Linked DNA regions of Caenorhabditis elegans. The protein of the gene in region 1 purifies or fractionates together with the protein of each later gene. This does not show direct contact. Each region holds a gene or a part of one and is shown in the gene's direction. Other genes may lie near its edges.

Region 1 (10,807 bases):
TATACATACATACCTTTATATCTATATGTATGTATATAGGTACGTAGGTATAAAGGTATATATATAGGTATATAGATATAAAGGTATGTATGTATGTAAATACATACCTTTATATACATATATATATATATATACCTATAAACCTACATACCTGTAACTATGCCTATATACCTACATACCTTTATATCTATATACCTATAGTTACCTATAAACAATTTTTTCTAGAGGTATAATTTATTTATTCAGTATATCCACATGTCTATATATCTATATACCTACACACCTTTATACCTATATAAATACATACCTGTATACCTACATACCTACATGCCTATATACCTATATACACACATACCTTCGGCGCGGCCCCCGACTTCTGGGGCTGAAAATTAATTTTTTATGAAACTACCGTAACCCTACAGTATTCCTACCGTACCACTATTGTACCACTAAAGTACCCCGACTATATCCCTACACTAACCCTAACTCACTATCCCTCCAGAAGCCAAAACTTCACAGACTACAAAGACTACATAGACTACAAACTATGGACACACAGAATAAGCGCTTTATATATAGTAAATGATATACCTATATACCTATAAGCCTTTCTACCTACATACTTTATTACCTACATATACCCATATGTCTATATATGTATATATCTATATACCTACATACCTTTATACCTATATACCCTTATACCTATATACCTATATTTCCCTATAAATATGTATACATACCTATATATCTACATACCTATATACCTATATACCTATGCCTAAATACCTATATACCTTTGAAATTTATATTGATTTTAATGCCCCGTCTAGAAATTTGGGTGATATCATTTTTTTTCAAGATTTGAAGCTATCGAAAATTGCGCTTACAGTAATAGTAGAGCTATGCCCCGAATCCATGACAGTCATAGGTAACTGTGTAGCATCTAACATTTGCAACGATGTCAGACGCTTCGGATTCGTCACAATAACCGATCCATGTACCCTTTGGAATGTGTTCAGTGGAAAGAATGAGTATTCATCGGGTAATTCGAATAAATCCTCGAATTTTTCAATTTTCTGATTCGCCGGAAGGCTTGGGATCTTCGCGAGCTGATGTACGTCAACTGTGTCGAATTCGACGATATTCATGTCGACTAGGTATTGATCGGAGAAGAATGGGGCAACTATTCGTTCCATATAACTGTTGACGAGCTCACTGCGAGCTTTTACAGTCATTAGACCACTTTTTCGAGCTTTTGCGAATCGCCATACTATCCTGGAAAAATTGGGGGGTAAATTTTAGTTTTTTAGGTAAAAATTGGGAAATTTTGTGAAAAAAACAAAGTTTTTCACAAAATTTCGTGTTTTCCTCATTTTTCTCCTTTCAAATTTGGTAAAAATTATCGAAAAACACAAAAAAATCATTTTGAAACGCTAAAACTCAATATTTTTCTCAAAAATTTGAAATTCCCACTATGGGGTACGGTAGCAGTCATTTTCAGCTGTGTCCGTTCATTTTTTTCGATTTTTTAAAGAGGTTTTTGCTCAAAAAAAAATGGAAAAACGATGTTTTTTCTCAGTTTTAACCGATTTTCAGCCGAATTTTTGACTTTAAAATTTTTTTTAATTTGAAATTCCCACTATGGGGTACGGTAGCAGTCGTTTTCAGCTGTGTTTGTTAATTTTTTTCTTAGTTTTTGAATTTTTAAAGTCAAATTTAATATTTTTTGGCTTGAAAAACATGAAAAATCTTAATTTTTAACGGAAAATTAGTATAAGAAACTTTTTTTAAATATAAAAAAAATTGGAATTTCCAATTTTTTCATGTTTTCAAGTCAAAAATTCAACAATTTCGGCAGAAAATCCAGAATATTAATTTAAAATTTTTAAAGAAATCGCTAAAAAAATTATGGGCACAGTTGAAACTGACTGCTACCGTACTCCACGAGGGGCATTTCAAATTTTTTAGAAGAAAAGTTAATTTTTTACGTTTCTAGACCAATTTTTTGTGTTTTTCGTGAATTTTTTCAGACTTTAAAGGAGAAAAATGAGGAGAACGCGGGTTTCTATCAATTTTAAGTTAAATTTTTTTTTTGTTTTAAAAACTCGATTTTTAATGGTTCCAATTGAATTTTTTGGGAAAAATCGAATTTTTAGCTGAAAAACCTGGATTTTTACGTATTTCTCCAGTAAATTCAGAAATCCATCAATAAACAACATACCTGACTCCAGAAACCCGATGCCTGGCGCTAATAACGAAATTCGCGCGCCCTTCGCCGCGAAAGCAGAATGATCGATAGTCACGGGGCTCAATGAGCACCTAAAAATAATTTTTAATTAATTTAAACCTTTTTTTAAAAGAAAAAACACAAAAACTCACAGTTGCAGGAGGATTAATCTGCATTTTCGGGTGGTTTTGGTGAGTTTTCAGTGAAAAATTGCAGTTTTTAGCGGGAAATTTTTAATCGTAGAGCATCTGAAAGAGGAAAAAAGGGATACATATAGTTGCGATGATTCACTGGGAGGACGGGAAAAAAACAAAAAAAGGAGAAAAAAAAACCAGAAAATCCTCAACATCACTATTACGAAATTATCTATTTGTTTTTTTTTCTGCGCGGAAGCCGTGGAGACGCAGAGAAACTTGGTAATCAGATGACGAGATCAAAATGTTGGCCGAATGCCAAGAAACCTTGTGATTTTTGATACAGGTACACAAAGAACTATCTCTTTTTTCTGGCAGCAAAAGAAAGAAATGACGTGTTTTTTCGCAATTTTTTGGTTGAAAATTGTTTTTTTTATTGAATTTCGTGCTTTGTTTTGATGATAAATCATAGAAAAACGAAAAAAATGATGGAAAATGGGGAAAATTGAAAGAAAAAGGGGGAAAAGGGGAAAAGGGGAAAATGAGAAAATAAAAATAAAAAGAATTATTGAGACTCCGCGATGGGGATTCTGCGGAAACCAACCCCGCGGATTCAGCAGGACAATTTGGAGTATAGCCATTGAAAACCTGATTTTTCATTTTAGATTCGAATATATTTTATCACACATTGTTGATTTTAAATACTAAACTATGTGTATCCCGCCCAAATTAAAAGAAACCCGCTGAAAAACTAGACGAGACCACTTCTCCAAAACTTGAATTCCTTGTGACTCGCAGCAAGTGCGCTCTATCGAGCGGCTTAGCTGCGTGCCAAACCACAGGAAATCGTTCATTTTTCACTTGTTTCCGGTCATTTTCCGCCGTTTTTTCTGTTTTCCTGCTCAATTTAGCCTTGTTCTTTGATTCTTTATCGTGTATTTTACTATCTACACTTGCGGGGGCTTTGATAACGGGGGTTTAGTGGTCGGAAATTTTTTTTTCGAAAATCGTTCGCCGGAAACTCAATTTCAAAATTGTTGGTTTTTAAGTTTAAGGAGTTGTTTAAGTTCAAAATGCAACTAGAAATTGAAAAAAAGCTCCAAAGTAACTAAATAAATATAAAATTTGTCAAATAAATATTTAAAAAAATTAAATTTCTTAAAAAATACATGCATTTTCGCATAAAATCTAGTGTAAAGGAGCTGGAAATGATCAAAAACCGATTAAAAATGACGTTTTATCGATTTTTGCCCAAATCTTCGCAAAAAGCGTGTGTTTTTCTTCAAAATAGCGGAGACTAAAAATGATGATTTGGACTAAAAATGAGCCGGAATTAAGCATTTCTACAGGAAAATCGTTCCAAATCGTGAAAAAATATCTAACTTTCCAATAATTAAGCTTAAAATTCACATTTTTCAGCTAAAACTATCGAAAAAAATACGATTTTAGGACAAAAATGCCGTTCAAAATGCAAATTTTATATGAATTTCCGCTCAAAAATTGAGAAATTTATGATCCATAACACCACGAGCAGCTGCAAAATTTTCCAATTAATTTCCACCAAAAAATGCACTTTTCTAATCAGAAAATATCTATTTTCGAACAAAAACTATGTTTTTGTTATAAAAAGTGTCACGAGGTAGTGGAAGTGATCACATCATATTTATTTGGTTTTCTTTCGACCGAAAAAATGAAAAAAAAATGATGTTGAACTTACAATGAGAGGCATTTTCGGGGGCGAAAAATCTAGAAAAAATTGTTTTTTTAAGCCTGATAATCTGATAATACTTCTAAGCTGCTGTGGATTTAACTATAAATCTGTAGGATAAAGGTTTTCAAAATTCGAAAAGCGTATGATTTTTAATGCTTAATTGTACCATGAAGAAGCACCAATAAATGGGCGGAGTTTGGCAATATATGGGCGGTGCTTTGCGAAGATTTAAATTTTCGAAAACGTCATATATAGAAAATTCGAATGATTTTTAGCTGCATTACTGCAAATTGAACTTAAAAATAGTGACTTTTTTTTCAAAAATTTCACAAAAATCCCGTCCATTTATTAATGTTTTGGTAAAAAATCGAGTTTTCGCCAAACTGCGACGTAAACGCAAAAAACCAATAAAAGGGCGGAGCGTTTTTTTGAAAAATCACTGTGATTTTAATTTCATTGTAATTTCTGATGTTTTCCAACATATTTTCCTGTAAATATATATTACTGGAACAAAATACTATGAGAATGCGTATTGCACAACATATTTGACGCGTAAAATATCTCGTAGCGAAAACTACTGTAACTCTTTAAATGACTACTGTAACGCTGGTGTCGATTTACGGGCTCGATTTTTTGAAATAAATAGAATATTAAAACTAAGCATCCATTTTGAAAATCGAGCCCCGTAAATCGGCATAAGCACTACAGTAGTCATTTTAAGAATTACTGTAGTTTTCGCTACAAGATATTTTGCGCGTCAAATATGTTGTGCAGTACGTATTCTCTGAATTTTGTGCTCCCGTAATAACCCTTCCCAATCGAATCTATCCACAAACACTCTTCTGCCATTCACACACACACACTACTCAGAACATTACAAAATACGTGCAAACTCGGACTGCGCCTTCTCTCTCCGTCTCTTCATTGTCTACACTGTATCGTCTCGTTTCTCTCGACTGCTGCTGCTGGCCAGCCAAAAAAAAGAAAAATAAAATCGAAGAAACCCCGCTATCTCACTTGTTGTGTAGTCTTGATTTCGATTGAAATTTGTTTCGAAAAAACAATGTCGAATTCGATTTTCCATTGTTATCTCTCGTCCTTATCAAACGTTGGCTATTGATCACGATTTTCGAAAGTCATTTGCGTCATTTTTAATTTTTGCCTAGACTCTAGAGTATCGACTTTTCACGATTTTCTTGTCAGTATTCTTGTCGAAAAGTGACTCGAATTTAATGAAAATTTGTCGTGTCGAGACCGGGTGTGTCTCAAAAATCGTAAAATTTCGCCTCTGGCTAATTTAGTATTCATTGGCAAATGTAAGAAAGGTATATAGTTCAGCAAAAATTCCTTTTGTGTTCGACTCGAAATTATCTGAAATTACCGAATTTCATAATGAAAATTCTTGAAAACTTCTCAAAAAAAGTTATGGCGGTACAAAAAATGACCTGAAATTAGTTAAAATTTGAAATTTGACCGTCTTGTCAAGCGGCTGGATGCTAACTTTTTGAAATCATCGTCTAATTATGGGTATATAAGTTAATTATCTTGCGTTTTCAACTCGATTTAGGTATATTTGAGGTCGATTTGTCACCAGATTTGGTTAAATTTGGTAACATCTGGGGGATACATCGAGCTTAAATGTACCAAAATCGAGTTGAAACTGCAACAAGAAATTAACTTGTATACCCAAAATTAGACGGTTATTTCAAAAAAGTTAGCCGCTTGAAAAGTCGGTTAAATTTCAAATTTTAACTAATTTCAGGTAATTTTTTGAGCCGCCATAACTTTTTGGAGGAGTTTTCAAGAAGTTTCATTATGAAATTCGGTGTTTTTAGACTATTTCGAGACTACTTAAACAATAAAAAACGTTCGACTAGACCATCTTTAGATAGTTAAGTTTTTGCTGAACTATATACTTTTCTTACATTTGCCAATCAATACTAAATTAGCTAGAGGCGAAATATTACGATTTTTGAGCCATACCAGGTCTCGAGACGACATTTTTAAAAATTAAATTTGAGCCACTTTTTGAAAAGAATACAGGGCAAGAAAATCGGGAAAATCGATACTCTCGGTTTCACAAAGAATAGCAATTCTTCTATCGTTTTCTCCTCCTTATTCTGAATTTCTATCCAAATTTCCCTCCAACAAAAAAATTCCATAATTCTTGTAGAATCAAGATGACTCGCAAGTTCTTCGTCGGAGGAAACTGGAAGATGAACGGAGACTATGCCTCCGTCGATGGTATCGTCACCTTCCTCAACGCCTCAGCCGACAATTCCTCCGTTGATGTCGTCGTTGCTCCACCAGCTCCATATCTGGCCTACGCTAAATCCAAGCTTAAAGCCGGTGTGCTTGTCGCCGCACAAAACTGCTACAAAGTGCCAAAGGGAGCATTCACCGGGGAAATTTCGCCGGCAATGATCAAGGATCTTGGATTGGAATGGGTGATCCTCGGACACTCGGAACGTCGTCATGTCTTTGGAGAAAGCGATGCTGTTAGTTTAATACATTTTGATTTGATCTTCGAAAAATTCGGGAAAAGATCTTCTCGAGACGCAGACTTTTCCACTGATTTCGCAAGAGTGTGCTGACGTCACATTTTTCTGGCAGAAAAATTCCCGCATTTTTTGTAGATCAAACCGCAATGAGACAGCCTGACACCAAGTGTCAATAAAAAATTCGAGTTTCAGGGAAATTAATCTGAAATTTCTTTTTCAGCTGATCGCTGAGAAGACCGTGCATGCTCTCGAGGCTGGAATTAAGGTCGTTTTCTGCATTGGGGAGAAGCTCGAGGAGCGTGAAGCCGGACACACCAAGGATGTAAGGGAGCAAAATACTGGAAATTATCGATTTTTCGCAAGAAAATTTGAAAATTCAACATTTTCAAACTTTCAGATTTTTTTTCTTAATTTTTTCGGGTAGAAAATCGATTTCTTCTAATATTTCAGTAGAAAAATCAAGTTTTTGAGATTTTTTGAAAATTCCAAAATGGTTTTGTTTCGAATTTGCACGTTTTTCGGGAATTTTTCAAAGTTTCTTCTTAAAAAATCCCTGAATTTTATAGTTTTGAGCTCAATTTTTCCTCAAAAAAAACGCAATATTTCTCTTTCTGCAACGAATATTAGAAATAATCGCTTCGAGACCCGATTTTTATGAATTTTCGTGAATTTTGAACAGAAAACATTTAATTTTATCATTTTCCAAAAAAGCGGAAAATTCCAACAAAAAATGGTCGCCAAAAATAATTCTTTTTTTTTTTGCCAAATTTTCAACAAAAAAATTGGTTCCGGCAATAAAAAAGAAAAAACTCCTGAAATAGTCGTTTCGAGACCCGATTTCTTATGAATTTTCTTGAATTTTGCAGAAAAGTTCAAAAAAAAATCTCCGAAGAAACATTTTTATTTAAAAATCTTCGAAAAATCGATTAAATTCCCTATTCCACGTGGTAAAACAAAAAAAGTTCAAAAATAATCGCTTCGAGACCCGATTTTTTAATGAATTTTCGTGAAATTTATATAAAAATACAAATTTAAATTCCCAAAAACGCGAAAAATTCAAAAAAAAAAAAGAATCCCGAAGAATATAAAATTTTCGAAAAATCGATAAAATTTGAAACAAAAAATTCCTGAAAAATAATACCCAATTCCTTATAAATAAAGATTTTTTTTAATGTTGTAGAAAAATAAATTTCAAAAATCGATCGCTTCGAGACCCAAATTTTCCAATTTCCAGGTAAACTTCCGTCAACTTCAAGCCATCGTCGACAAGGGTGTCAGCTGGGAGAACATTGTGATCGCCTACGAACCAGTTTGGGCCATCGGAACCGGAAAGACTGCTTCTGGAGAACAAGCCCAGGAGGTTCATGAATGGATCCGTGCATTCCTCAAAGAGAAGGTCTCACCAGCTGTCGCCGATGCCACGAGAATCATTTATGGAGGATCTGTGACTGCTGACAATGCGGCTGAGCTTGGAAAGAAGCCGGATATCGATGGATTCTTGGTCGGTGGAGCATCGTTGAAACCCGATTTTGTCAAGATTATCAACGCCAGATCTTAAATTATTATTTATTTCCCCCTATTTCACAGATTTTTCCGGATTTCCACTGATTTTTCACCGATTCCCCTAAATTTTGGTCGTAAAATTGGTTGATTTTCATTGATTCCCCTAATTTTTAGCCGTAAAATTAGCTGATTTTTCCCGGAATTTCAGCTTCAAAATTGTAGAATTTCCCTTAGTTTTCCCCAATTTTCCCCCAGATTTCCTCTAAATTATATTGTAAAATTAGCTGATTTTCATCAATTTTCCCGGAATTTTGACCGAAAAAAATCCAAAATTTGGGTGAATTCGTGAATTTTTTGGCTTGAAATTTGGCTTTTTCCTCTCTACAGTGTAGATATTAGTAGCAGCTTTTTTTTCCAGTATTTTTGATATTCAAAACCTATATATATTTATATAAATAAATTTCTTGCCGACAAATAACAAAAAATCGATATTTTCAAACAATAGTTACTTGTTCTGTGTGAATATTTCAGCCGGCGATTTTCAGATTTTTGCGGAAAATTTTCAGTTTTCAGATGAGTAATCAATATATCAACGAGCCGATTACGACGGGAAAGGTAAAATTATTGATTTTTATCGATTTTTGGTGGAAAAAATTGAATTTTCCAGAAAAAATGACCGAAAATTTCAATTTTTATCGATTTTTGAATAAAAATCGAAAATCCAGTGAAATTTTCGATTTTTCCGATGAAAAATTCGCGTATTTTTGCAATTTTTAAGCTGTAAAACGAAAATTTTGAGTTTTTTTTATCTAAAAATTGGCTAATTTCGAAAAATTTTGGATAATTTATTGAAAAATACGACCAATTTTGCACTTTTTGCGCCAAAACTACGTTTCCTGGTCTCGACACGACAATTTTTGTTTATTGCAAAGAGGTGTGCGCCTTTAAAGAGTACTGTAGTCTTGAACATTTTTTTAATCAAAAAATCTATAAAAATTCGAGACTACAGTAATCTTTAAAGGCGCACATCTTTTTAACAAAAATGTGTCGCTTCGAGACCCTAGGTACCGTAGTTTTGGCGCGAAAATCGCAGAATTCGTCATATTTTTCTCTTTTTTTTAAATTAAATATCCGAATTTTTTGAAATTTGTCAATTTTTAGAGGAAAAATCGAAAAAATATGACGAATTTTGCGCTTTTCGCGCCAAAAATACGGTATCTATGGTCTCGACACGACGACTTTTTGTTAACTGCAAAAAGGTGTGCGCCTTTAAAAAGAGTACTGTAGTCTTGAACATTTTTTTAATCAAAAAATCGATAAAAATTCGAAAATTTTTTATCCAAAAACTACAGTTTACTATGAAAAATTGATGAAAATTCGAATGTACAGTAATCTTTAAAAGCGCACATTTTTAAACAAAAATATGTCGCTTCGAGACCCTATGTACCGTTGTTTTGGCGCGAAAATTGCAGATTTCGTCATATTTTACTCCTTTTTAAAAATTAAATATCCGAATTTTTAAAAAGTTGTCAATTTTTAGATGAAAAATCGCAAAAATATGACAAATTTTGCGATTTTCGAGCCCAAACTACGGTACCTAGGGTCTCGACACGACAAAAAATTTTTGATTGCGAAAAGGTGTGCGCCTTTAAAGAGCTGTAGTTGCAAACTTTAAAATAAAATTACAGTAATCTTTAAAGGCGCACACGTATCTCAATTAGCAATAATAAAAATTCGTGTCGATACCCTAGGTACTGTAGTTTTGGCGCGAAAATCCCAAAATTTTGAAGAAATCGAAACAAATTGAATTTTCAAAAATTAAATAATTTCGAAAAAGCTTTAAAAAAATGTCTTTACCATAATAAAATCAATTAATTATTCAATTTTCTTCAATTTTACTTCATTTTTAACTAAATTTCTTGCAGGTAACCCTTGAAACCACTGCCGGAGACATTGAAATTGAGCTTTGGACGAAGGAAGCTCCACTAGCATGCAGAAATTTCATCCAGCTTTGCATGGAAAATTATTACAAGGGAACTGTATTTCATCGGCTTGTCAAAAGTTAGTAAATGGCGAAAAAAAATTAACGTTAATTTTTTAAATTTTAAAATTAAAAACATTTTTAAAAATCAAAAAAGAAATTTTTTTTTGCAAGTTTTTTTCAAAAATTTCCAAGAATTTTTTTTTGCAGATTTCATTCTCCAGGGTGGAGACCCTACGGCAACCGGAACCGGCGGAGAGAGCATCTATGGAAAACCATTTAAGGTTCAAAATTTGCACTTTTTTTTTGAGAAATCGTTTAAAAAATTGAAAATCCCAATAAAATTCAAATTTTCTTTAAAAAAATTGTCATAAAAAATTTGAAGCTATAATTTTGTATTTTTTCAACGTTTCTTATGAGTAAAAACAGATTTAAGGCCTTCTCATACAAAAATTCCAAAAAAAACCGAAAAATCAATTTTTAGTTTAAAAAAAAGTTAAATTTTTGGGTAAAATAATTAATTTTAAATTAAAAAAAAATCAATTTTTCTTTCAGAAATATTTTTTGTCAATTTTTTAGTTAAAAAAAAACAAATTTTAGAAAATTAATTTCTTGTTGAAAAAATCAATTTTTCAAAAAAAAATCAATTGTTTGGCCAAAAATATTAAATTTTTAGGGGGAAAAAATTAATTTTTTATTTAGAAAAATATGACAAAAAATCAAATTTTTCTGTAAAAAAATCCATTT
Region 2 (10,807 bases), on another chromosome or scaffold:
TGAGACTACCAAAAACGTTTCCACTGATAAAAAATTGAGACAATTTTTCTAACTGCACTTTGAAAAAGTAAACTCGGCTGACATCGTAGGGTTTCATTTTGGCCACAAAATTTTGAAATCAATTTTAAGTTGGAACATGTGGTTTTTTTGTTAGATTTATGTGATTAACAGCTGCTCATATTCTCCTAACTCAGCTGAAAGTTTGCCCTTTATATTGGAAATTTAACGTATGTCCATGTTCAAAAAGTGCACGTTTGAAATATTTTTATATTTGTACTAATAGAAGTTGCACAAAAATTTGAGATTTTTGAAAAATATCCACCCTACTGGAGCTAGAACAAAACAACAGAAAAATAATAAAATCCAACTGATCAATATTTTTATAAATTTTGTCAAACTGTAATGTTCAATTATCAAGATGTAGTCTATTTCAAAAACTCAGGAAAAATTTAGCTCATAAGATGTCAGTCGCTTCAACTTTTCTACAGCGGATTTGAGACAATCCAGGGTTTAGAAAAACTATTTAGAAAAATGAGCTTAACTTCTATTTGAGAAAAAAACTTTTTCACAAATCATGAGAAAATGTCGAAAACAGTTTTTTAAAAATAATTTTTGCATTGCATAAAAGAATGACAAAATCGAATCTGGGAGCTTTCAAATTTCACAAGTTCCCACTAAATTTTCCTGTAGTTTCAGCAAGAATATATTATATTATACGGTGAAGCCTCTTGAACTGAATTTCTATGAAACTAAGCATCTCAGATATTTATGCTTTTGTATATAAATTGCCACAAAAAATTGTCGGCTGCAATAAAAAATAATAACCTATATTAAAAGTTTGAGGCTCAAATATTAGACAACAAAATCTAGAAGCTCAATAAAAATTTTCCAACTAACATTTATTCAATTGCCTTCTCGTGATCATTGAAAATATATTCAGTTACTTCACGGAAAACTTCCGAACCTATCAGAATTTTCCTAATTTATGGGAAACTCTTTTTTTTGTTGGAAATTTTGACAGGTCTCCTTGCAGAACGATGAAGAGATGTTAAAAATGAACACTGGCGGAAGAACTCAAGGTTCAAGATTCGTTGGTGTGGTATCTGTTTGTGTTTTTCATGATATACATGTGACTCCATCAAGCTTTGGCGTGTCCACACACACACACACACACACTCACACTCTCTCATACACACAAATACGCAAACGAGATCACTCAATTTACCATGATTTTCAACGGAGGACAAAAAGAAGAAAAGCCTTTTGGTCGCCTCACGCGGGGCGCCAGCCGTCTGCGTCTCACACTATTTTCGGATACGTTGCGGCACGTGTTTTTCCAATGCTAAATGCACGGAAATTGGGTTTGAAAGCGGAATGAATGAGGAGAATCCGTGAGAATACGAAGAAAATGTTGCCAACTAGGTAAAGAGGGGGGAAGTTGGTCCGATGAACGGAGTATCGTACCGCGCGTTGTTTAGTGGAGGGCGGCAGCGTTCCGCGCGGCTCACTTATTCGGGAAGGGCCCCCACATTGTTCGTTTTGCATTAAGGCTCCAGTCTCTTTTCTTTTGTTTTTGCATTGAACATTTTTGCTGTTATCTTTTTCTGTTTTGCTAATCGTAATGGGCGTTTACAAAAAGTTGCTGAAAATTAATATTTAGTCTTTCAAAAACTAGTGATCTAGAAAGTTTTCAAAAAAAAACCTTGGTACGTTATTTTAAATGTGAACAATCTTTAATTCACACAGACAAAACACGGAATTCAGGGAAAATTCAGTATTTTCCCGAATTGGAATCTAATTTGCTGAGGGCCGATGAATTTTTCAATATTTCGTAATACTAAAGTAATTTGTACGGAAAATCTGAGTTGATTAGCTGAGGCGCTAGAAGCATGTTTAATTTTTTCACTAAACTCATCAGTGTGGTTTTAAAAAAAATTAATCTTTTTCACATTTTCAAATGAAAAGAACATCCCTTCTGTGGCTACCCATCGCAAAATTTTAGAATTGCGGTTTTTGACTTCCCTTGACCCCCCGAAAACCCCTCAAAAACTAACCTTGACTTTGCCGATAGCTTTCTTGAAAGATTTTTCACGCGATTAAGTCCACTTGGCTGACTCCGACTCTTGGATTTCATCTCAGTACCGTCTCCACCACCGTCCTCCTTCCTATCGCGGTCTCGATCTTGATGAGAAAACATTTCTGAAAATAGTCGGTTATTTTGAAATGTAACCTAAAAAACGGGCATTAGAACGGCAATGTTAGACCTTGAAATCCAAAAAAAGAGAGAAAAGCCACTTTGTCATGCGCAGAAATCGGCGGCGATGGTGATGACGGAAAATGTGAATAAGCATATTTTGGTGGCGTTTTTTGGTTTTTCTAACAGCTCGGCTGCTAAAAAGGTTTGCTGTGTAAATAGAACAAGTACTCACCGAACACTTTTTTCATTGTTTTTCACGTCGAGAAGCAGCGAATTTTCTTTTTTTGAAGGGATAGCTTTTTGAATTTTTTTTTAGCTATTCAATGCAACATAAAGCAATAGAAAAAATGAAGGAGAACAATTGAAGCTAGCTCTCGAAGAATGTTTGATGAAAGCGAAAACTTCACTTCGAAATTTCAATATCTAGTGGAAAAGGTTTTCTAAAACTAACAGGGCGAATATAGCCATCTTTTTCCAAAATGCCATAAAAGTGGAAATGTAAATGAGGGTATGAACATTAACAATTTTTTTGACACGTTCATGTGAACAAAAAATTCCACCCGCATAGTTCCATATTTTTAGAAATAACAAAAATTGCCTAATATCACTTAATGCTCTAGCTCTAATCCAGTTACTAATCCTTATTTCAAAACGATTTTTAAGCACTTTTCAGTGCTTTTTCCTTCCTCTCGCCAAACAAAAAGCAAATATGTTCAGATGCTCGAGTGCAACGCACTGAAGCTATATTTGGCAGAATACCAAAAAATCGATTCAAAACGCAATGTAACAGCGCGTGGAAAGTTGAAACAATGTGATGATACCAGAAACATTCATAATAAATTCTGGTAAAGTGAGCCCTCCTCACTTGACGCTACTGTTTGTGAGTATCAGACTCGGCGACTTTTGTCAAAGTAATCGGATCAGAACGGGGCAGTGTATTGGTATACCTCCTGCCACAAGGCACGTGCCAGACAATATGAAACAGTATATGCGTTTTATTCAGTCTCTATTTTTTTCGCAATTCCCGCAGGGAAAGTCACCTGCCAAGCTTACAGCTTCTAGGAAAACATTATACTTTAACAACTATAGATAAATTTTGAAACTTAAAAGTTACTTGTCAACGAGAGCTCATGATACGAGAGCCAACGAGAGCGCGGGAAAAAAAATGAGAGGGAATAATAACTTTGAACGATGGGACGAGTTGAAAAGTGTCATATTTCGGAGCACAATGGTTTTGAGCACACTCGGCGTCCAAGTGATGAGAAAAGTTTACTTCTTCGTTAGACACTTGTTGACTTGCTTTCTTTGTTTTTGAAATTTTTGTTCAATTTCCATTTTTCTAACAACTATCATTATGTTTGTTTTTGTTGCCTCTTAATTGTTAGTTTTGTGAAAAATCCATGTCCATGTTCATCTTTATTGATTTTAAAAATTTTCAAATTAACTTCAAAATCATTAAAGGCCACCCATTAAAGTCGGTGACTAAAATAATAAATCAGAATGTGCTGAAAAAATTTTTAGTTGTCGTAAATTTTACAAAACTTTGTTGAGAACTTCGCCACGTAGAATTGAGGCTTTAAGGCGGCCCGGAGGCGCCTCTTATCGCCTTTTTCTTTACCTCTTCTCTCACCCTTCTTTCTACCGGAAATCTTGTATGCAAATTCTCATTACGGTGAATATTTTTCTGTGATTTTTTTTCATTTTTACTTCTCATTCATTCAAAGGCGTTTACCGGGCGGAATGTTGTTTAGTTCTCATCCATATTTCTAAATACCCAGCAACTTGGATTTTCTCGTGTATACTGTTCCATTTCTTTTCATCATGTCCCGCCATCATCACCCCAAAAAGAAAACCGATTATTTTTCGTTTCGAAAATTTACATAAACATGTTTTTCCGCCTGGCCACGTGAGATTGTTATATTTATTTATCTAGGCGGTTTCGCACCATCACTCATTTCAAAAGGTCATTTTGCCAATAATTTTTGAAGTGGTCGTTTGGTTTTTGAATCTTTGAAGTTCACGAGGTAGTTGTATAGGTTAACCTTGATTCCTTTTGTAAAGGGATTTTGAAAAAATCAGCTCTTTCAAGGTTTTTCTATAGGCAAAAACAGAAGAAAACTTCCACTAGAAAATTTCAAAAAAAAAAATAGTTTTTCATTTTTGGTGAGGGAATTTTGATATAATTTCATTTATTCCTAGGATCTTATTACATTAACCTAGATAAATATCCAATCTTTTTTTTCAATTTTCAAAAAAGTAATTTGCCTTATCAAAGAACACTTTGAAACCCTCACAAATGACACATTTCGATCTCATTGCGCTGCGTTTTGCCCGTTCTCTCCACCTTGCCATCACGTTTTCCTCGAAATAAAAATTTTCAAAATGGTCACGTCTCGAAAAACGTCTCTGGCAAACAACAACGCTGCCTCTCGTTTTCTACCCGCATGTGTTGTTTTCTCGGAAATAGTGTGTGCTTATTGGAGGGCGGGCCGACGAGAAAGAGTTGTCGAGAAGAGGCAGTCCGTTTTTGAGACCCCCTTTCCTCAATTTGTCCGAAAACTAGGCAAAATTTCCTGTAACTTTTGTTGTGAACTGTCGACTTTGGTGCAATAGAAAGTAACCATCTAGTTCAGTCTTGAAACTGGGCCCGTAGTCTTATCAACACACGTTTCTGTTGATTTCTTGAGTGCTAAAATAAGAAAGTAGAAAGTTTTACGTTTCTTATCGTATAATAATTTTTATCATCAAATCGATTTTTATTGGAAACACCTAAAACGTTTTTTGTTTCCAAGTAAATCCTCTCGAATGTCGATGAGGTGACCTCCTTTTAACGTGGTCATTTTTCGATTTTGATCTCTTTCGCTATATAAATACACCTCATTATCGCGTTTTGCGGCATACCGCCACTCTTTTCATCTCTTCAATTTCTATAACTAAACTTATTGATTTTTTTTAATTCCAGAAACAACACTCAACATGTCCTTCTTTGACGGAATCCCAGTTGCTCCACCAATCGAGGTGTTCCACAAGAACAAGATGTACCTCGATGAGACGGCTCCCGTCAAAGTTAACCTGACAATTGGAGCCTACCGCACAGAGGAGGGACAGCCATGGGTGCTTCCAGTCGTTCATGAGACTGAAGTCGAAATCGCCAACGACACCTCGCTCAATCACGAGTATCTTCCAGTTCTCGGTCACGAGGGTTTCCGCAAGGCTGCCACCGAGCTTGTCCTCGGAGCCGAATCGCCAGCTATCAAGGAGGAAAGATCGTTTGGAGTACAGTGTCTCTCTGGAACCGGAGCTCTTCGTGCTGGAGCCGAGTTTCTTGCTTCAGTGTGTAACATGAAGACCGTCTACGTGAGCAACCCAACATGGTAAGTGGTCGAAAAATCGGAGCCAAACATACTTATCTGATAAAATATAACAAGTCTTGTATTGGCCAGAGTGAGTAGCAGTCAACCAGAACTTCAACTTCTTAAAATAGCCGCCCAATTCTTGGCAGTATTACCATAAACCTAGGTAATCTAGGTAAAAAATGAGTTTCAGCAAGGCTCTTTCAAAGAGGTGTAAGGTACTTTTCCTGAACCTCTGATAATGCTGGGCGAAATTCATCAAATCATGAATTTTTATCATTTTCAGGGGAAATCACAAGCTTGTCTTCAAGAAGGCTGGTTTCACCACCGTCGCCGACTACACCTTCTGGGACTATGATAACAAACGTGTGCACATTGAGAAGTTCCTCTCCGATCTTGAGTCAGCCCCAGAGAAGTCTGTCATCATTCTTCACGGATGTGCTCACAACCCAACTGGAATGGACCCAACTCAGGAGCAATGGAAGTTGGTTGCCGAGGTGATCAAGAGAAAGAACCTCTTCACCTTCTTTGACATTGCTTACCAAGGATTCGCATCTGGTGATCCAGCTGCGGACGCCTGGGCGATCCGCTACTTTGTAGACCAGGGAATGGAGATGGTTGTGTCCCAATCATTTGCCAAGAACTTTGGACTTTACAGTAAGTTTTGAATAGAAGATGAAAAGTAAAATACTTCAAAATTTCAGACGAGCGTGTCGGAAACCTTACTGTCGTCGTCAACAATCCAGCTGTCATTGCCGGATTCCAGTCTCAAATGTCGTTGGTTATCCGTGCCAACTGGTCCAATCCACCAGCACATGGAGCAAGAATTGTGCACAAGGTGCTCACCACCCCAGCTCGCCGTGAACAATGGAACCAGTCTATTCAAGCGATGTCTTCTCGTATCAAGCAGATGAGAGCCGCCTTATTGCGCCATTTGATGGATCTTGGCACTCCTGGAACTTGGGATCACATCATTCAACAAATTGGAATGTTCAGCTACACCGGACTTACTTGTGAGTTTGCTTTTTTTAACACTCTGATGAGGACAATCTTAATTTTCAGCTGCCCAAGTGGATCACCTGATTGCCAATCACAAAGTATTCCTGCTCAGAGACGGCCGCATCAACATTTGTGGTCTTAACACGAAAAACGTGGAATATGTCGCCAAGGCGATTGATGAGACTGTGCGTGCCGTGAAGAGCAACATCTAAAGCTTTGAAATTTATGAATTTTATGTGAAAAATTGAGTTTTTGTGCTCTTCAAGTTTGAGCATTAAGTGTAGATTGAGTATTTCTATGCACTTAGTTTTAATTTCCCGTGTGTACTTTTATTTATTTTAACCCGATTACTTTTTTTTCTTGAATGGAAAATGAATCATTGCTATTATTATCCGTGTGATGTGGACGTTTACTTGGGGAACTATTTCATAAAATATTCGCTCCTAACCGCGACAATTATGGATACACTGCCATAATGCATGAAGCAGCGGATTTTTGGCATATGGAAGCAAGAGGAACATCAGAATTGCCGGAACAAAAATAAAACTAAAACTGTTGTGCGAAAAGTCTACGACATTTTGTTACAAAGTTTGTAATTCTGGTCACCCCAAGTTTAGATTAAGAATATTTGCCATCTATCTATTGTTTAGACACCTGTCGATTTGGTTAAAATTTTTCAGTCTCCTCGAAGTCATGTGGCAAAATTTGAGAAAAATCTTGTTACAACAATTTTCTTTACAGTTCATTGGATTGAAAGTGTGCTCCGAGAAACTTTCAAATTATGCTTTTCTGTTACGTTGTACAACGGGATGGGATAAAATAATCAGTTTTGTACTAAAAATGGTTCTCTAGTATTTAGAATAATTGTTTTAAAATTATTCCACAATACTAAAAAAACATTCAACTATATGTGGATTTCGTGAATAACTTTTAGAGTCAATTTGAACGGAGCACCAATTCAAAAACGGCTCTCCAACTTTCTGAAATCACGTGTACAGGTAAGGATACATCAGTGTTCCATTACCTGAAAAGCTTACGTCTTGCAAACTTCGATGACCCGGAGTGTGAAAGACAGTTAAAAAATTGCGGGGATTTATGAACAATGTTTTCTGTTCAAGCAATTATGATATATGGTGCAAATACTAATCATCACTAGGCTTTATTTTATTTTTGTAATTTTCTTGTAGTTAATTGAAAAAAAAGTGTTTCAACTTCTGTCATATGCTTCAAAATACAGTGTATTACTGACCACCTGGCACCATGTTTAAAAACTTTTTTTCGAGCAGCTGTTAATATTTGTTACTACAGTTTGAAAAACTGATTTAATTCTATAACTGACCACGTCAAACTTTCGCATTCTCATCTACACGAACTTCATTTCCCGGAGTATTCAAAGTTGAGGTAGGCTTCTATTTTCTTATCAACGTCAATCAAGTGATAAATCATTTTTTATTGCAATGCACTTTAAGCTGTCTTAGTTTTTTTCGAACCTTCGTGTTTCGCCGTAACATCGTTCATCAAGTAGTTGTTTTATGGAAAAAAATAGAGTAATCATTACCAATGAATATGGGAAGGATGAAAAAGGTTTTATTTGATCATAACAATTAATAAATAGAAAATGACAATGTAATATTTTCCATTGCTCTAAAAATGGCAAACTCAATTATCAAGCGGTTGTACTTATTATTGTTATTGTTATTATTATTATTATTATATTGTTATTATGGTTGTTATTGTTGTACTTATACCCAATATTATTACTAAGAAACCCCGTTACAAAACGGTTTTCATTTGTTACGGGGTTACAAAATTAATAGAACGGCATATTCATTTTTCAAAAAGCACGAGAATTCCAGCAACATGTCGAACCGTGGGTACGCCCATCTTCACCAGACTCGATTCACCATGAAAATGTGAATACGTGCCAGGAAGTAATCAGGAACACAAATTCATTTTCAAACGAACAGAAAAACTTTACATAGTTAAACTAAATAAATTTAAAAAAATAAAAAAACTAAAAAAAAATAAACTAAAAAAAAAAAAAACTTAGTACCGCAGTTTTTTGATTCTTGAACAAAATTACCATGTTGCGAACGCTATAACGATTTTTGCAACCGTATATAAACAGGATTGCGCTAAGGAAAAAAAGTACTCCCAGTTCTTTTTTTCAGAAGACAGTGAGCTACAAAAATGTTTTATAGTCAAAGTATAAAATGTACTGAATTTGCAGTCCCAGAAATTTTGTTTCTTGCACTTTCTGAGTTCAAGAGTTTTTTTCAACGTCAGCTATAAATTAAAATTTCGTTTTCTTATCGCCACCTGCTCCAAAAAACTCCCATTTTTCTATTTCGTGTTATGCATGGAACTATTCAACTTTTGGTACTTGTGTAGTTCAACTGACCCAGAAATGGTGGCCATTCTTATACATAGTTTTACGTGACTTTTTTGTCCATCTTAGGCTAAGGGTTAATGTTATCTAAGCTTAAACAGCAAATAAATTTCAGTTAAAATATGCGGCTATCTTTCTTTGATGGAATTCATGTTGCTTCGCCAATCAAAGAGCTCCATACATCGGAACTCTTCCAGAAAGAAATTTGCCCTGTGAAAATAAATCTTGCAATAGAAGCTTATCGCACGGAAGATGGAGAGCCGTGGGTTTTGCCAGTGGTTCGAGAAATCGAACTTAAATTCCCTCACGAGCCTCATCACAATCATGAGTACCTACCGATTCTTGGACATGATGGATTCTGCAAATCAGCCACCGCTTTGCTACTCGGAAATGATTCTTTGGCTATCAAAGAGGGAAGATCATTTAGTGTTCAGTGCATCTCTGGTACAGGTGCCATATGTGTTGGAGCAGAGTTTCTTGCTCAAGTTCTTAGTATGAAGACGATTTATGTCAGCAATCCATGCTGGTAAGTAAATGCTTTTTGGGGGTATTTTTTAATGAGAAAATCAAAATTTTTTCAACCGATTATTAAAACGACCAATTGTGTGATGTTTCTTTTTCCAGGGGAAACTACGAGCGTACATTTCAAAAGAGTGGTTTCAATTCAATTAGGGAATATACGTACTGGGACTTGCATAACAGAGAAATTAACATCACACAGTTACTTGACGACCTCCGCCAAGCTCCGGAAAGATCAGCTGTTCTTCTTCAAGCCTGTGCTATAATCCAACAGGAATGGACCCAACTCGAGAGCAATGGATACAAATGGCGCAAGTCATCAAACAGAAGAATCTTTTCACTTTTTTTCATATTGCTGATCAGGGATTAGCTTCTGGCGACGCTGATGCAGATGCTTGGGCTGTTCGGTTCTTTGTCGAACAGGGTTTGGAAATGATTGTCTCTCAATCTTTCTCAAAGAATTTTGGGCTTTACAGTAAGTTTGAATTGAATATTATTAGTTAGGATTAAAATTTTCAGATGATCGTGTTGGAAGCCTTACTGTGATCGTGAACAAACCAAGTCATATTGCGAACCTAAAATCCCAACTGACACTTGTTAATGTTTCTAATTTTTCTAACCCTCCAGCTTACGGAGCACGTATTGTGCATGAGATTCTCAAGTCGCCGAAGTACAGAGAACAATGGCAAAATTCCATTAAAATGATGGCTTTTCGTATTAAGAAAACAAGACAAGAACTGATTCGAGAGTTGAATATGCTTCAAACTTCTGGAAAATGGGATCGTATTACTCAACAATCGGGGTTGTTCAGTTATACCGGATTGACGCGTAAGTAAGCAATATTTTTCAAAAAACTATTTAGCATAGTGAAAAAGCATTAGGTTATTTTACCTATTCTCGTAAAACACCCCAAAGCTCCGGACGGAATTGTGCCATTTTGCACAAAAGTTACATCCAGCTTTAAGTCCGTATGGTCGTGGGGAATAAAATTAATAAAAAGCAATTTTAGATTAGACATTTTCTGAAAAACCTAAAAAATAAATGAAATGGTTTTCAGCTTGTCAAGTCGACCATCTCATAGCCCATCACAAGATCTACCTTCTCAGTGACGGTCGTATTAATATCTGCGGGCTTAACATGAGTAACTTGGATTATGTGGCTAGAGCAATTGATGACACTGTACGAACAATTCATTAAAAAGTATTCACTTCAAATTAAAATTTTATTCGAATAAAAGTTTGCAGCAAAAAGTTGCGGAATTATTAAAAATGCAATAAACGTACTGCATATTTCAAAAACAAAACCATTAAAAGCAAAATATAGATTTGTTGTTGGAATGGAACTAAGTAT

The links. The genes of interacting proteins can lie anywhere in the genome.
Region 2: the proteins of tpi-1 (region 1) and got-1.2 fractionate together in Caenorhabditis elegans (co-fractionation; one large-scale study listed by BioGRID). This does not show direct contact.

What each region holds. Positions count from the first base shown.
Region 1 is NC_003280.10:12,034,581-12,045,387, reverse strand, and holds tpi-1 (Triosephosphate isomerase), read left to right. Parts: upstream 1-6,248; 5' UTR 6,249-6,255; coding exon 6,256-6,573; intron 6,574-6,796; coding exon 6,797-6,898; intron 6,899-7,810; coding exon 7,811-8,134; 3' UTR 8,135-8,553; downstream 8,554-10,807. Other genes in the region: ippk-1 (Inositol-pentakisphosphate 2-kinase), read right to left, coding at 891-1,278, 2,225-2,322, 2,383-2,406; cyn-16 (Spliceosome-associated protein CWC27 homolog), read left to right, coding at 8,653-8,694, 10,005-10,140, 10,271-10,344. UniProt on the Caenorhabditis elegans protein: Triosephosphate isomerase is an extremely efficient metabolic enzyme that catalyzes the interconversion between dihydroxyacetone phosphate (DHAP) and D-glyceraldehyde-3-phosphate (G3P) in glycolysis and gluconeogenesis.
Region 2 is NC_003284.9:16,787,479-16,798,285, reverse strand, and holds got-1.2 (Aspartate aminotransferase, cytoplasmic), read left to right. Parts: upstream 1-5,159; 5' UTR 5,160-5,173; coding exon 5,174-5,571; intron 5,572-5,759; exon of another isoform or gene 5,760-5,836; coding exon 5,837-6,207; exon of another isoform or gene 6,208-6,254; coding exon 6,255-6,563; intron 6,564-6,612; coding exon 6,613-6,761; 3' UTR 6,762-6,939; downstream 6,940-10,807. Other genes in the region: aak-2 (5'-AMP-activated protein kinase catalytic subunit alpha-2), read right to left, coding at 2,055-2,197. UniProt on the Caenorhabditis elegans protein: Biosynthesis of L-glutamate from L-aspartate. Important regulator of levels of glutamate, the major excitatory neurotransmitter of the central nervous system.